Linked DNA regions of Elephas maximus indicus. The protein of the gene in region 1 interacts with the protein of each later gene in a pairwise test. Links are inferred from orthologs where the notes say so. Each region holds a gene or a part of one and is shown on either strand. Other genes may lie near its edges.

What was found. The genes of interacting proteins can lie anywhere in the genome.
Region 2: the proteins of CRY1 (region 1) and PER2 interact in a two-hybrid assay, tested with the Homo sapiens proteins (5 studies listed by BioGRID, with this or other methods). The link is inferred for Elephas maximus indicus from reciprocal best matches to the Homo sapiens genes CRY1 and PER2.

The regions. Positions count from the first base shown.
Region 1 is NC_064822.1:174,245,412-174,253,200, forward strand, and holds the start of CRY1 (cryptochrome-1), read right to left. Parts: upstream 3,005-7,789; 5' UTR 2,133-3,004; coding exon 1,975-2,132; intron 1-1,974.
Region 2 is NC_064824.1:140,372,761-140,379,900, forward strand, and holds the start of PER2 (period circadian protein homolog 2), read right to left. Parts: upstream 3,014-7,140; 5' UTR 2,905-3,013; intron 1-2,904. UniProt on the Homo sapiens protein: Transcriptional repressor which forms a core component of the circadian clock.

The DNA of each region.
Region 1 (7,789 bases):
TCTCTTAGAGCAAAACCCCTTGAAATCAAGAGCTGTCTATGTGAGTTGTCTCCAACTCCTCTCAACAACTTCTCACCACATCACCATTATCACCATGGACCAAGCCATTATCGTCGCTCACCTGGATGAGTGCAACAGCTCCTAACTGGTCTCCCGGCTTTTTGTCCACCTCTACCCCTTTACCCTCAGTTCAGTCTATTCTCAGAACCACAGCCAGAGAAATTGTTTTCAATCTTAAGTCAGATGACATCACTTCTCTGCTCACAACCCTGCAATTATTCCTATTTCACCCAGAGTAAAAGCCCAAATCTTAACAACTGTCTACAAAGTTCTACTCAATTGGTCCTATCATATCTCTGGCTTCTTCTCCTACTACTTTTCCCCTCACTTATTCTGTTCTGAAATCATATTGGCTTCTTCTGCTGTTCCTCAAAGGTCACATTTCCACCTCAGGGCCTTTTCCTTTAGTGTTCCCTCTGCCTGGAATGCTCTTCCCCCTGGATATTCATATTTCATCACCTCTTTTTGGAAACCCTGGTGGCGTAGTGGTTAAGTGCTACGGCTGCTAACCAAAAAGGTCGGCAATTCGAATCCACCAGGCGCTCCTTGGAAACTCACGGGGCAGTTCTACTCTGTCCTGTAGGGTCGCTATGAGTTGGAATCGACTTGATGGCCGTGGGTTTGGGTGTTTTTGGGTTCAAGTGTTTGCTCAAATGCCACCTTTGAGCGAACCTGTGAGCTTTTCCCTGATCACATTTTAAATTGCATCCCCAACTCCGTATTCCTTAAACCTTTTCTCTGCTCTGTTTTTCTCCACGACACTTACCATCACCTAAAATACTATGTATTTTATTTCCAGGGACATAAACTCAAAGAGGACAGAAATTTTAGTCTATTTTTCTTACTGTTATACCGCTAGCATTTAAAGCAGTACCTGGCGTATGACAGGTGATCAATAATGTTTGCATGAATTATTTCATGTCTATCAGGGAGCCTAACAAATCACCTAGCCTGGTATTCCAGGAAAAGATCATCAAGCTTCTCTAAGATTTCTCCCAGTTCTCTGATCCCTAGAAGGATTATACTTCGCCTAGAAAGAAAAAGTGTGCTTTGTCTCCTCAGCCACAAGGAGGAGTTGGGAGGAGCTGAGCAAAGGAAACGAGAAAATGCTGCTTCCTTGCTTTTCCTATGGTTGCCTCAAGGTGGAAGAAAACTGGACTTGAAAACCCTGGTGGCGTAGTGGTTAAGTGCTACCGCTGCTAACCAAAAGGTCGGCAGTTCAAATCCATCTGGATGTTCTTGAAAACTCTGTTGGGCAGCTCTACCCGTCCTATAGGGTCACTATTAGTCAGATTGGACTAGACAACAATAGGTTTTTTTTTTTTTTTTTGGTTTGGTAGTTTAAAGGAATGATTTTCTCAATACTAACAGCTACCTTGGAGCCCTGGTGGTGCAGTGGTTAACAGCTCGGCTGCTAACCAAAAGGTCAGCAGTTCGAATCCACCAGCCGCTCCTTGGAAACCCTATGGGGCAGTTCTACCCCGTCCAATAGGGTCGCTATAAGTCGGATTCGACTCGACAGCAACGGGTTTTTTTTGTTGTCGTTGTTATTTACCTATATTCACACAAACGTAAATATTAAAAGCCACAATCCTTTCGAACACCACACAGAGGGCAACGAAATCAACCCACAGGCCATTAAGGATGAAAAGAGTGTTTCTTTAGCTCCACCACTAAGAATTCTCCATAAATTCGAGGGCAGAGCTTCTATTACCACTCACAGCTGAAGGCCAAGGGGTCCCAGCTGGTCAACACTCTCTAGCCAATTCCCCTGGATGTTTACATGAAACAGCTACAGTTCTTAAACGTTACAAGCAAGGCGCTCCCAGGGCTAAATTTCTCAGACTTGGCCGATCGCAGAGAAGGTCCTGAGTGACCAAACACACATTAACGCCACTCGGGGGATGGACTCACCGCCACCTGTTGATCCCCACGTTAGACGAGCCGGCGAACCAGGGGTCGAGGATGTAGACGCAGCGGATGGTGTCGGCGCCCTGAATGCACTCCTTCAGGGCGGGGTTGTCGTGCAGCCGGAGCCCCTTTCGGAACCAGTGCACGGCGTTCACCCCCATCCCGGCGGCCAGCGGGTCAGCGCCGAGTTCCTCCAGAGAGAATTTCAAGCAAGCAAGGTCCGGCTCATAGCCGACCCCTTCGCTTCCAGGAGAATCGCCAAGCCCAAGGAGTAAGAAAGGGCGGCAGAGGGGGGACAGGAAAAAATGAATCCGAGGAGGGGACGTGCGAAGGAGAGGGCGCTGGAGGCGCAGTTGGAAGATGAATGGAGGCTGCCCAGCCCGGGTGTGACGCCCTTTAGGACCCGGCGCAGGCCTCAACCGCCTGGAGGAGACGCATAACTTCGACGGCCTCGGAACCCCCGAGGGTGAGCAAGTTCCAGGAGCGCGAGCCGCCACGACGGCCCGAGAAGGCAAAGGCGGCCCCAGAAGGTTCGTCACGGAAGCCTCGCCCCACCAAGGCTGCCCTCGAGGAGAAAACGGCCCGGCGCAGGTGAGTCACCCAGAGAAATGAGAGAGGATTCGGCCACTGTCAGGAACTCTGCCTCGCGGCCCGGGACAAACGAACGAGGACGAAGGCGGTGGTCGAGGACGCTGGACGGTTGCCGGCCAGTGACCAGTCCCGAGGCTGCCCGGGTGATTCCGCCGCCGCCGCCGCCGACGCGTCAGCGGCCTCGGCCCCGCCCCCGGCTCCTCATTGGCGAGCACACTCCCCACGTGACCACCGGCACCTCACGTTTCTGAAGTGTGTTTACTACACCGGCTCTGGCTGAGGAATCTTCTCGTGTTTCGATCACTTCCGGAGAGCAGCAGCAGCTCCAGACTGTAGATCCTCGCCCCAGTGCTGGGATCCCTGCCTCTGGCCCTTTCCTCGGCCGTCTGGTCGCGGTCCCCACAGGCGCCAGCGATGACCACAGGCCCCATGTGAGGGAAGGCTTGGCTCCGCCCCCGGGGGCCGTGAGCGGCCACTATTGGCTGAGGCTCGCTGAGGCCCGGATGAGCACGGGGATGCGGGGAGCTCGCGGGCACGCGCTCAGCACTGGGAGGCGCGCGTGCGCTCTCTCTGCGTCCCTGCGGTCTGGAGCGCGCAGGGCGATTCCTTCCGTAGGGCGGTGGGAGGCCGGGAAGGCGGCCCTCTGGGAGTCAACCGTGAAGCCTGGCCAGGAGAAGGGGAGATTGGGGTGGAAGCAGGAGTTTGGGAGGCTCCACTTAGACTTCCAGCCCAAACCATGTGCTTCGGTCCAGCTTTGGTCGGAGAGCCCTGCTTTGGCGTGTCTATAACTGGCGCTCCTACCATTCTGTGCGTCTGTGGCGCGGTACGCTTGGACTCCGACAGTGATGTGTCGATTTACCTGTTCCTGATGCGGCCCTTGCCTGCCTTTGTAGAGATAATGGACTGTGGGCCATGTCATTTCTTGAACACATGATGGCCTTGTATTCATTCAACAATTACTTACTGAGAGCCTGTTATGTGCCAGACATTTTCAAGGCTCAGGGGGCGGGGGGTACAAGAGAGAATACCAGAAAAACCCAAATCGCTTGCCATTGATTGGATTCCTGCTCATGGTGACCCCACGTGTGTCAGTAGAACTGTGCTCCGTAAAAGAGACAAAAACCACAGCCCTCCTGAAGCCTGCAATCTGTGACTCCTAACTTGTGAGGTTGCTATTCTTTTTGTCTCTATAAAAATATCCTTTGGAACCTGCTGCTTACTATAACCAACTTTGAGCTACCTAGTGTATTTCTACACATCCCTTTAGACTCAGATGAAGTGTTACCTAATTTGTGAAATTATTTCTGACTCCCAGGGTGGGTTTAGGGCCTCCCCCTCAGCCCTCCACACATGTGTCTGATACATCACTTAATACACTGTAAAACCTAAACCTAGTGTGGTGTAGTGTTTAAGTGCTATGGCTGGTAACCAAAGGGCCGGCAGTTCGAATCCACCAGGTGCTCCTTGGAAACTCTATGGGGCAGTTCTGCCCTGTCGTATAGGGTCACTATGAGTCAGAATTGACTCGACAGCACTGGGCTGGTTCAGATCCTTGGAAACACTGTGGGGCAGTTCTACTCTGTCCTGTAGTGTTGCTATGAGTTGGAATCAACTCAACTGCAAGGGGTTTGGTGTTTGGTTTTACTGTAGTACCTAAGGCTCTTGGGTGGCCCAAACGTTTTGAGGTTGGCCACGAACCAAAAGGATGCCAGTTCAAACCCACCCAGTGGTGCCTTGAAAGAAAGGCCTGACGATCAGCTTCTGTAAAGATTCCAAACCAAACCAAAAAATCAAACCCAGTGTTATAGAACAGAGTAGAGCTGACCCGTAGGGCTTCCAAGGAGCAGCTGGTGGATTTGAACTGCCAATCTTTTGATTAGCAGCCAAGCTTTTAACCACTGCACCACCACCACCACACACACCACATACATTGCTGTTGAGTCAATTCGGACTTATAGCAACCCTATAGGACAGGGTATAACTGCCCCATAGGGTTTACAAGGAGCTCCTGATGGATTTGAACTGCCAACCTTTTGGTTTGCAGCCATAGCTCTTAGTCACTACACCACCAGGGTTTCTACTACACCACCAGGGCTCTGTAAAGATTAAAAAAAAAGAAAAACCAAACCTATTGCTGTTGAGTCCGGCCCATAGCGACCCTATAGGACAGAGAAGAATCGCCCCATAGAGTTTCCAAAGAGTGCCTGGTTGATTTGAACTGCCGACCTTTTTGGTTAGCAGACATAGCTCTTAATCACTACACCACCAGGGTTTCCATAAAGATTAGGGCCAAGGAAACCCTATGGAGCTTATTTCTCTGTAGCACATGGGGAAGCCATGTGTTGAAACTGACTTGTCAGCCATGGATTTGGGTTTTTTTTTTTTTTTTTTGGTATTCTCTACTGTATCCTCAGCATGTTGTACCTAGTAGGAAGACAGTGCTCAGTAATATAGTGTCTCTGACTCCATTAAAGTTTGACTTCCTAAGGGCAAGGTTTCTGTCTAGTTCATCTTTTTGCATCATCAACACCTAGTCCAGACCCTGACGTTTATACACTAAAATGTTTGTTGAATGAATGAATGTATATTGTTTGCCACCAGTTTGGGTGGCAAGGTTAAAAGGAAGAAGGAAATGGCAATAAAGTAAATTAAGTCATCTAAAAAGCCAATATGTCTAAACACTCTTCCCTACCCCTGTTGCCACGGGGAGGGTATATCATCCTTTCTTTGCTTTCTGTTGTCGTTGGGCGCCATTGAGTCGGTTCTGACCCATAGTGACCCTGTGTGCAACAGAACAATAACATTGCTTGGTCCTACACCATCCTAACAATTGTTGCAGCATTTGAACCTATTGTTGCAGCCGGTGTGTCAATCCATCTCATTGAGGGTCTTCCTCTTTTTTGTTGACCTCTACTTTACCAAGCCCTGATGGCATAGTGGTTAAGAGCTTGGCTGCTAACCAAAAAGTTAGCAGTTCAGATCCAACAGCCACCCCTTGGAAACCCTATGGGGCAGTTGTACTCTGCCCTGTAGGGTCATTATGAATCAGAATTGACTCGACAGCAATGGGTTTGGTGTTTTTGGTTCCTACTTTATCAAGCATGATGTCCTTCAAGGACTGGTCTCTCCTGATAACATGTACAAAGTATGTGAGACAAAGTCTCACCATCCTCCCTTCTAGGGAACATTCTGGCTGTACTTCTTCCAAAGTTTATTCATTCTTCTGGCAGTCCATGTTTTGTTGTTGCTGTTGGGTGCTGTTGGGTTGGTTCCTACTCATAGGAATGAGACACTGCCCGGTCTTGCACTATCCTCACAGTCATTGCTATGTTTGGGCCCATTGTTGCAGCCACTGTGTCAGTCCCTCTCACTGAGGGTCTTCCTCTTTTTTGCTGACCCTCTACTTTACCAAGCATGATGTCCTTTTCCAGGAACTGGTCCCTCCTGATAACATGTCCAAAGTATGTGAGATGAACTCTAGCCATCCTTGCTTCTAAGCACCATTTTGGCTGTAGTTCTTCTAAGACAGGTTTTTTTTGTTCTTCTGGCAGTCCTTGGTATTTTCAATATTTTTTGCCAACACTGTAATTCAAGGGCATCATTTCTTCTTGTCTCCTTTATTCATTGTTCAGCTTTTGCATGTATATGAGGTGATTGAAAATACCATGGCTTGGGTCATGTCCTCAAAGTGACATCTTTGCTTTTTATTGCTTTGAAGAGGTCTTTTGCAATTTGCCCAGTGCAATACATTGTTTCATTTCTTGACTGCTGCTTCCATGGACATTGATTGTGGCGCTGAGTTAAAAGAAATCCTTGACAACTTTAAAATATTTTCTCCATTTATCATGATGTTGCTTATTGGCCCACTTGTGAGGATTTTTGTTTTCTTTATGTTGAGGTGTAATCCATACTGAAGGCTGTAGTCTCTGATCTTCGTCAGTAAGTGCTTCAAGTTCTCTTGCTTTCAGCAAGCAAAGTTGTGCCTTCAGCGTATCACAGGTTGTTAATGAGTCTTCCTCCAATCCCGCTGCCATGTTCTTCTTCATATAGTCCAGCTTCTCAGATTATTTGCCAGCATACAGGTTGAATAAGTACAGTGAAAGGATACAACCCTGATACCAGGGATGGACTACCCAATAAGCAAGGTAAACACGTGCTGAGGGCAACAAGAAACAGAGGCACCATTTGCCCAAAGCAAAGACCTATAGATGCCAAGCAGACGGGACACAGGAAGAGTGACCACTGCAGTGGAAGGGAACTGGCAGGGAACTAAATGAAATTGACAAAAGCTACAGTTCATCTCATTCCACTAAAATGGCATACATCACCTTTGCTTTCAATCGCAAATGTTATAGTCACGTTTAAAAAGAAATTACATCATAGATAGCTGAGACACACACATGTGTAATGTGTATATATAACTCATATATCCCTTTGGAATGTGTGAATAAGCAGAGGAGGAGGCACCACAGATTATCCGTGTTTAGGGTCCTCACATGCCTTAATCTGGCCCTGCCTGCTGCACACCTTTCCTGATTTTAAACCATGTAGTATCCTCTTGTTCTGTTTGAATGACCGCCTCTTGGTCATTCATGAGCATGATTAAGTGTTTTGGAATTCCCATTCTTTGAAATCTTATCCATTTTTGTTATTATCTACACAGTCAGATGCCTTTGTTTTATAGAAGAATATTTAAAATTATATGCAGTCATGTGCTGTATAACATCCATTTGGGCAATGTCCGACTGCATATGCATTCATGGCCCCATAAGGGTTTTTTTTTTTTTTAAGGGAAAGCAGCTCTCCTTTTGTTTATTATTTCCTCCTAATGGTTTTAAAGACCCCAGACTCCCAGAGTAAATGAGCTGGAGAGCTCCAGGGTGCATCTCAATCCCAGAAGAGCTTCCTCCTTCATCTCCTTCCCCTCCTCCTGGCCATTCACAGGCCCAGCAGCCACGCAGCTGTTCGCTCCCAGCAAACCTGCTGAGGCTGCTTTGCTCCTGGTCCAGGTGGCTGTAGCAGCTGCACCAGCAGAGTGGGGCAGCCAGGGTCTGCCACTGCCAGCCATGCACCAGGCACCTGCACAGCTGCTCCCTGCCTGGTCCCCACAGCCACTTCTCCCTGCTGCTGTGCACCCCTCCCCCCGCTGCCCTGCCCTGTGCCTGGAGGTGTGCAAAGCCTCAATCTGACTGCTAGCGCAGCCCCCACCTGGCCCCCAGTCGCACAT
Region 2 (7,140 bases), on another chromosome or scaffold:
AGAACTAAACAGAGAATTACTGAGGGCACCTTTCCATTAGGTTACATGGGGAACCTCTGGTTTTCCAAAGATGACCCAGAAAAACCAAAACAAACCCATCCGGGCTCCCTAACTATCACACAGGAAAGCCATAATTATGCTTGCAAGTCTTATCTCACAGAAATAAAGGGGGAAAAAAGGCAACAGTTTATAGAACTAACACATCCATGAAGCGTCACCTAATAGAATGTTCAACCTGCACAACAATGAGGCTCCAACTTGGGTCCGCTGAGCTTCGTGTATTTCAAAAGGGACCCACATTGACACTAAATGGGTTAGAAGCAGACTAACCTACTACCTACGAGATCCAGGGGCATAAAAAGTGGTTGGCATACCATTAACCCAATAGCAGCTAGAGAGTTAAAGACAGATGCGTGCCTCCCACAACTGTCCCAAACATGTGCATCAAAAACAGTGCACGCGAGGGGCACCCTCCTATTTGAGACACGCCTCCCAAGCCACACACAGGCATAAGCACGTCAGAAACCACTCCCTCCGGCATCCAAAACCCAAACCCACTGCCCTCGAGTTGATTCCGATTCCGACTCATAGCGACCCTGTAGGACAGACTAGAGCTGCCCCATAGGGTTTCTGAGGCTGTAATCTTTATGGAAGCAGACTGCCACATCTTTTTCTCTTTGAGCAGGTGGTTGGTTCCAATCGCCAACCTTTCAGTTGGCTGCCGAGCTCTTTAACCACTGCACCACCAGGGCTCCTTCCCTCCTGCATAAAAAAAAAAAAAGCTCCTTCCCTCCTGCATAGTGCCCGGGAAAACCTTCAGTAACAGGAACAGGGATCCCAGCACCTGGGAGCTGAAACGCACCTTGGAGAGCACTTATTCCAGGAATATACACAGACAGGTAGCTGAGACCTAGAGGTGGGGGGCAGGAGCAGGGAGGTGGGGGTGGGGTGGATTCGCCAAGCACTGCCACCTGGGTAGTGGCCAGGCTCCCACCTCCTGCCAATGGCTCCAACCCCCTCATCTCCCAGAGCCCTGACTTTGCTCTTTACTGGTGAATCACAGGAGATTACAGTGGTGGGTGACTTCCAAGCTGGCAGAACACCCACGGCACCCATCCTTCAGTGGCAGTTCACACAGCTTCTACTTAAAAAAAAAAAAAAAAGGACTCCTCTCCTCTTTTCACGAATACACCTTACCTAAGCGACTAGACTTGGATTTAAAACTCAGTTTCTAATTGCAGCCTTCATCCTGTTTCCCTTCGCAGGCAAACCCAGTCCTGGACCAGAAAGCCCAGGTGCGGTGGGGCAGGGCATCTCCCCCTAGGAACCGGGAGGTAGGGTGGGGAAGAGAAGTGTTCACAGACAGAGCTCTGCCACGGTGCTAGGGTCTGAACACTTGGGGGACCTAAGGCCCTTCCTTCCAAACCCTGGCCCAGTTTCAGGTGTTCAGACTCAGCCTGACCCAGATCAAGACCCTTAGGTGTGATGGAAAGACCTGGAGACATTGCCCTGGCACCCTCCCCCCACCGCCCCCCACGACAGTGTGTTTCCAGCACATGTCTGGCTCTCGGTTTCCTCATCTGTGAAGCCCTGGATGATTCCCAGGTACCTTCTGGCTCTGCCACTCTGTGCGTATGAATCAGCTTTCCAAGCTGGTTCCCTCTGTGTCGTTACAGAAACCCTGGCAATCAAGTTGTTATCCTTTGCTCTGCCTTCCTGGAGGGAAGCAGACTGCCGCCCACCCCTGTCTGGGCCCTGGGGCTTGGCAGCCAAGGGGCATCCCAGCACATGGTGTGACTGCCCCACCACAAAGTAGAGACCAGCCTGGGCAGCCCCCCTTCTACCTGCCCTGGGGAAAAGAAATTGACCTGGGGGACCAGGGTTGGCAAAGGGGCTGAGCATCATCGAGACTCCCCGCTGTCAGGGTTCCTAGGCCTGGCCTGGCACAGGGATTTTCCAGCTGGAAGACCAGTGGCCTTGCTACAGTGGGTGATTGGCCATTGCCCCCATCAGTGGCCTGAGACTTGTCTGGCCTCAGAGGGGGAAGCTGGCTTCCAAAAGGGCTCTCCATGTGCCCAGTGACAGCAGCGGCCCTTGGTGTGGCCTTGGCCTTCCAGGTCCTCTCCCCACTGAAGGCCCAGGGGTTTTCATGAAAGAAATGCCACCTAACCTCTTTGAAGCTCAGTTTCTTGACCTGTAAAATGGGGACAAGAGTACCCACCGCGCAGAGTCTCCGCAAGGTTTGCCTTAGCAAATACACAGCGCCGGCACACGCTCAGTCCTGATATCCGTTAGTATCAGAATAGACTGAATTTCCTCTGCACACTCCCCACCCCAGCGCCGTCTTCACCGTTTGCAAGCTCGGAGCATTCAAATTTCCCAGAACACTAGGGGTTCGCGTGCCCGTGGCGGGGGGCTGAGGAAGGCAGCCGGGCGCCGCCGCCCGCTTGGATCCCAGACCCTCTCGACCGCAGACCCCAGATTCGCGCGTGGACCCCAGCCCCGACCAAGCGCCAACTCTAGACCCGGGACGCGGACCCCAGCGCCACCCGAGCGCCGACCCCGGGCCCGGGCAGCGGACACCAGACTCAGAGCGCAGACTCCAGACCCACCCGAGCTCCTACCCCAGATCCGCCTGAGCGCCCACCCCAGACCCGGGGGGCTGACCCCAGACCCTCCCAAGCGCCGATCCCAGAGCCGGTGGGCCGACCCCAGACCCTCCCGAGCGCCGACCCCAGACCCTCCCGAGCGCCGACCCCAGACCCTCCCGAGCGCCGACCCCAGACCCCCCCGAGCGCCGACCCCAGACCCACCCGCGCCCGGCAGGCAGTTACGTAAGCGCGAGCCCGGCTGCCGAGAGCGCCCGCCACCTGCCGGCGCCGCCGCACCCCCGGCCGCACTCACCGAGGCGCCCCGCGTCCCCGTCCCGCCGCCGTCCGTCCGTCCGTCCGTCCGCCCGGCAGCTTCTCCGCAGCCCCCGCCTGGGCTCACCGGCCGCCGCTGTCACATAGTGGAAAACGTGACCGCGCGCGCCGGCCCGCCCCCGCGCCTGCCATTGGCCACGACGCCGCCTCATCTGCATACCCGAGGGGGCGGGGCCGGCGAGCAGCGCGCGCCCATTGGCTGCGGCGCCTGCCGCTCTCTTTACATAAGACGCACATGGAACTCCATGTTCCCCGCGTCGGTTCTCAATGAGGACGCGGCGCGCACGGGCCCCCCTCTGCGCCCTCCCCAGTGGTCCCTTCCACTTCCGCCTTTCCATTCAGGACGCCGCGCGCCGGGCGGCCGGGGAGCGCGGAGTGGCGCGTACCACTGCGGGGCGGGGGCGCCGGGCCGCAGCTCCGGGTCCGGGGCGACGAGCGCAGCGCTGGCGGCTGGGGCGCGCCTCTGCCGGGAGACGGTGCGCCGCCGAAGCCCAGGCCCGGGGAGGCCGCCACCTGGGGGGCCGGCCAGAGGCGCGGCCCGGCGGCCAAAGCCTCCCTGCGGAAATCGCTCGGTCACCCCTCCCGTTCATTCAGCCGGTGCCACCCGTGGACTCGCTCCCATTCAGACGCGCGTGCCCATTTAGTCGCTGGTTCCCATTCAGCCTTCCGCTCCCTCGCTCCCTGCGTCGCTGATCCTGCCCAGGCTGCCCAGGCGGAGGGAGGCTCTCGGGTTGCAGGCCGCCCACTACCGAGGTGCAGGTGCTCGACACTTGTCCCAGATCCCCAGGATGGTCCGCTTTCAGACGCCTTTTTTGCTTTCGAGACCATGTGTCACAATTTTTGGCTCAGGAAATACGATCATTGTTACCACGGGGAGGTATAAATTAATCAATGAATGATATCACTGTTCCAACCACATCATTAGGGAGGCAAGACCCACCCACTGTGAAAAGGGAAACTCAAATGCTAAACTGGGTGATGTAGGTTATAAATCACAGGGCCGGAGCTCCCCGCAGAGGCTCCACGACGGAAGCAGCACCCAAGTGTGAGTAGGACCGGGGAGATGTTTGCAAAAGGGGGGCCTTCCTGAAAGGCGAGTTCCAGAGACACCGGAGCCACGGGTGGGGTCATTCCGGGAGGCGGCTCTGGACCCTGAGCACCTTTGCTGAGACCATTTTCTCTTTTGGTAAAGTTGTTTGGGGCCTCTTAAGGCCCCAACCCTGTCTGAAGTGTCCGTGGAGAGAGCAGACCTGCTCAGATGCAGTTATCGTTGTTTAGAGGTGCCATCCAAGTTGATTCCAGCTCATAGTGACCCCTTGCACAACAGAATTAAACATCTCCTGGTCTTGCACCATCCTCACAATCACTGTTATGCTTGATCCCATTGTTGTAGCCACTGTGTCGATCCAGCTCGTTGAGGGTCTTCCTCTTTTTCATGACCTTCTACTCTACCAAGCATGATGTCCTTCTCCAGGGACTGATCCTTCCTGATGACATGTACAAAGAGTATGAGAGAAAGTCTTGCCATCTTTGCTTCTAGGAAGTATTTGGGCTGTACTTCTTCCAGGAGAGATTTGTTCCTTCTTCTGGAAGTCCACAGTATATCCAATATTCTTTGCCAACTCCATGATCCAAAGGCATCGATTCTTCTTCCTCCTCAGTTTTCCTTACTCATTGTCCAGCTGTCACATGATATAAGGTGATTGAGAACACCATGGCTCGGGTCAGGCGCACCTTGGTCCTTAAAGTGACATCTTTGCCTTTTAACACTTTAAAGACATCTTTTGCAGCAAATTTGCCCAATGCGATGTGTCATTTGATTCCTTTACTGCTGCTTCCATGGGCATTGATCGTGGATCCAAGTAAAATGAAATCCTTGACATCAATCTTTTCTCCCTTTGTCGTGATGTTGCTTATTGGTTCAGTTGGGAGGATTTTTGTTTTATGTTGAGGTGTAATCCATATTGAAGGCTGTGTGGTCTTTGATCTTCATCAGTAAGTGCTTCAAGTCCTCTTCACTTTCACCAAGCAAGGTTGTGTCATCTGGGTAATGTAGGTTGTTAACGACCCTTCCTCCAATCCTGATGCCCCGTTCTTCTTCATATAGTCCAGCTTCTCAGATTATTTGCTCAGCATACAGATTGAGTAAGTATGGTGAGAGGATACAACCCTGATGCACGCCTTTCCTGACTTTAAACCACTCAGTATCCCCTTGTTCTGTTTGAACAACTGCCTTTTGATCTACGTACAGGTTTCTCATGTGCACAATTAGGTGTTCTGGAATTCCAATTCTTCGCAATGTTATCCATAATTTGTTATGATCCACACAGCTGAATGCCTCTGCATAGTCAATAAAACACAGGTAAACATCTTTCTGGTATTCTCTGCTTTCAGTCAGGATTCATCTGACAGCAGCAGTGATATCCCTGGTTCCACATCCTCTTCTGAATCTGGCTTGAATTTCTGGCAGTTCCCTCTTGGTGTATTGCTGCAACTGGTTTTTAATGATCGCCAACAAAATTTTAGTTTTCTGTGGTATTAATGATATTGTTCAATAATTTCTGAACTCGGTTGAATCATCTTTCTTTGAAATGGGTACAAATATGGATCTCTTCCAGTTGGTTGGCCAGGTAGCTGTCTTCTAAATTTCTTGGCATAGACGAGTGAGCACTTCCAGCACTGCACCTGTTTGTTGAAACATCTCAACTGGTATTCTGTCAATTCCCAGAGCCTTGCTTTTTGCCAATGCCTTCAGTGCAGCTTGAACCTCTTTCTTCGGTACCATCAGTTCTTGATCATATACTACCTCCTGAAATGGTTGAATACTGACCAGTTTTTTTTTTTTTTTTTGGTATAGTGACTCTATGTATTCTTTCCATCTTCTTCTGATGCTTCCTGCATTGTTTAGTATTTTCCCCATAGAATCCTTCAATATTGCAACTTGTGTCTTGAATATTTTCTTCCAGAATAGTGTCATGTTCATCATCAAAAAGACCATTTCAAGATCTATCCTGAAGTACAACGCTCTCAGTGATAGGATAATATCCACACACCTACAAGGAAGACCACTTATTACAATTAATATTCAAATTTATGCACTAACCACTAAGGCCAAAGATGAAGAAATTGAAGATTTTTACCAGCTTCTGCAGTCTGAAATTGATCAAACATGCAATCAGGATGCACTGATAATTACTGGAGATTAGAATGCAAAAGTTGGAAACAAAGAAGAAGGATCGGTAGTTGGAAAATATGGCCTTGGTGATAGAAATGACAATGGAGATTGCGTGATAGAATTTTGCAGTACCAATGACTTCATTGCAAATACCTTTTCTCAACAACATAAATGGTGACTATCCACGTGGACCTCACCAGATGGAATACACAGGAATCAAATCAACTACATCTGAGGAAAGAGACGATGAAAAGCTCAGTATCATCAGTCAGAACAGGCTATCAATTGCTGCTATACAAGCTCAACTTGAAGTTGAAGAAAATTAGAACAAGTCCATGGGAACCAAAGTATGATTTCGAGTATACCCATCCCACCTCAATTTAAAGACCATCTCAAGAATAGATTAGAGTTGATGTATTGAACACTAACGACTGAAGACCAAATGAGTTGTGAGATGACATCAAGGACATCATACGTGAAGAAAGCAAGAGTTCATCAAAAAGATAGAAAAGAAAAGACCAAAATGGGTGTCAGAAGAGACTCTGAAACTTGCTCTTAAACTTAGAGTAGCTAAAGCAAAAGGAAGAAATGATGAAGTAAAAGAGCTAAACAGAGATTTCAAAGGGTGACTCGAGAAGACAAACTATTATAATGACTTGTTCAAAGACCTGGAGTTAGAAAACCAAAGGGAAGAACATGCTCGGCATTTCTCAGATGGGGTAGAGGGCACAGATTTAAGGGAACAGGAAATGGGTTGCAAGCTCCTGGGCAGCACAGTGCCTGCTGGGTCAGGCTCTAAAGGTGCAGGGTCTAAGGTGGGAGGTGAGGCTGGCTGTTCCCTTGAAGATGTAGGATTTGAGAAGATAGGCAGTGTTTGACCCTTCAAGTACAGGGTCTGAGCGGGGAGGTGGGGCTAGCTGGCTCTGAAGGGGCACAGTCTGAGGGAGGAGGTGGGCCTGGCTGCCCCCGAAGGTGTAGGGTCTGCGAGAGGAGCCGGGCCTTGTCTCTGAAGGTGCAGAGTCTGAAGGGGGAGGTGGGGCT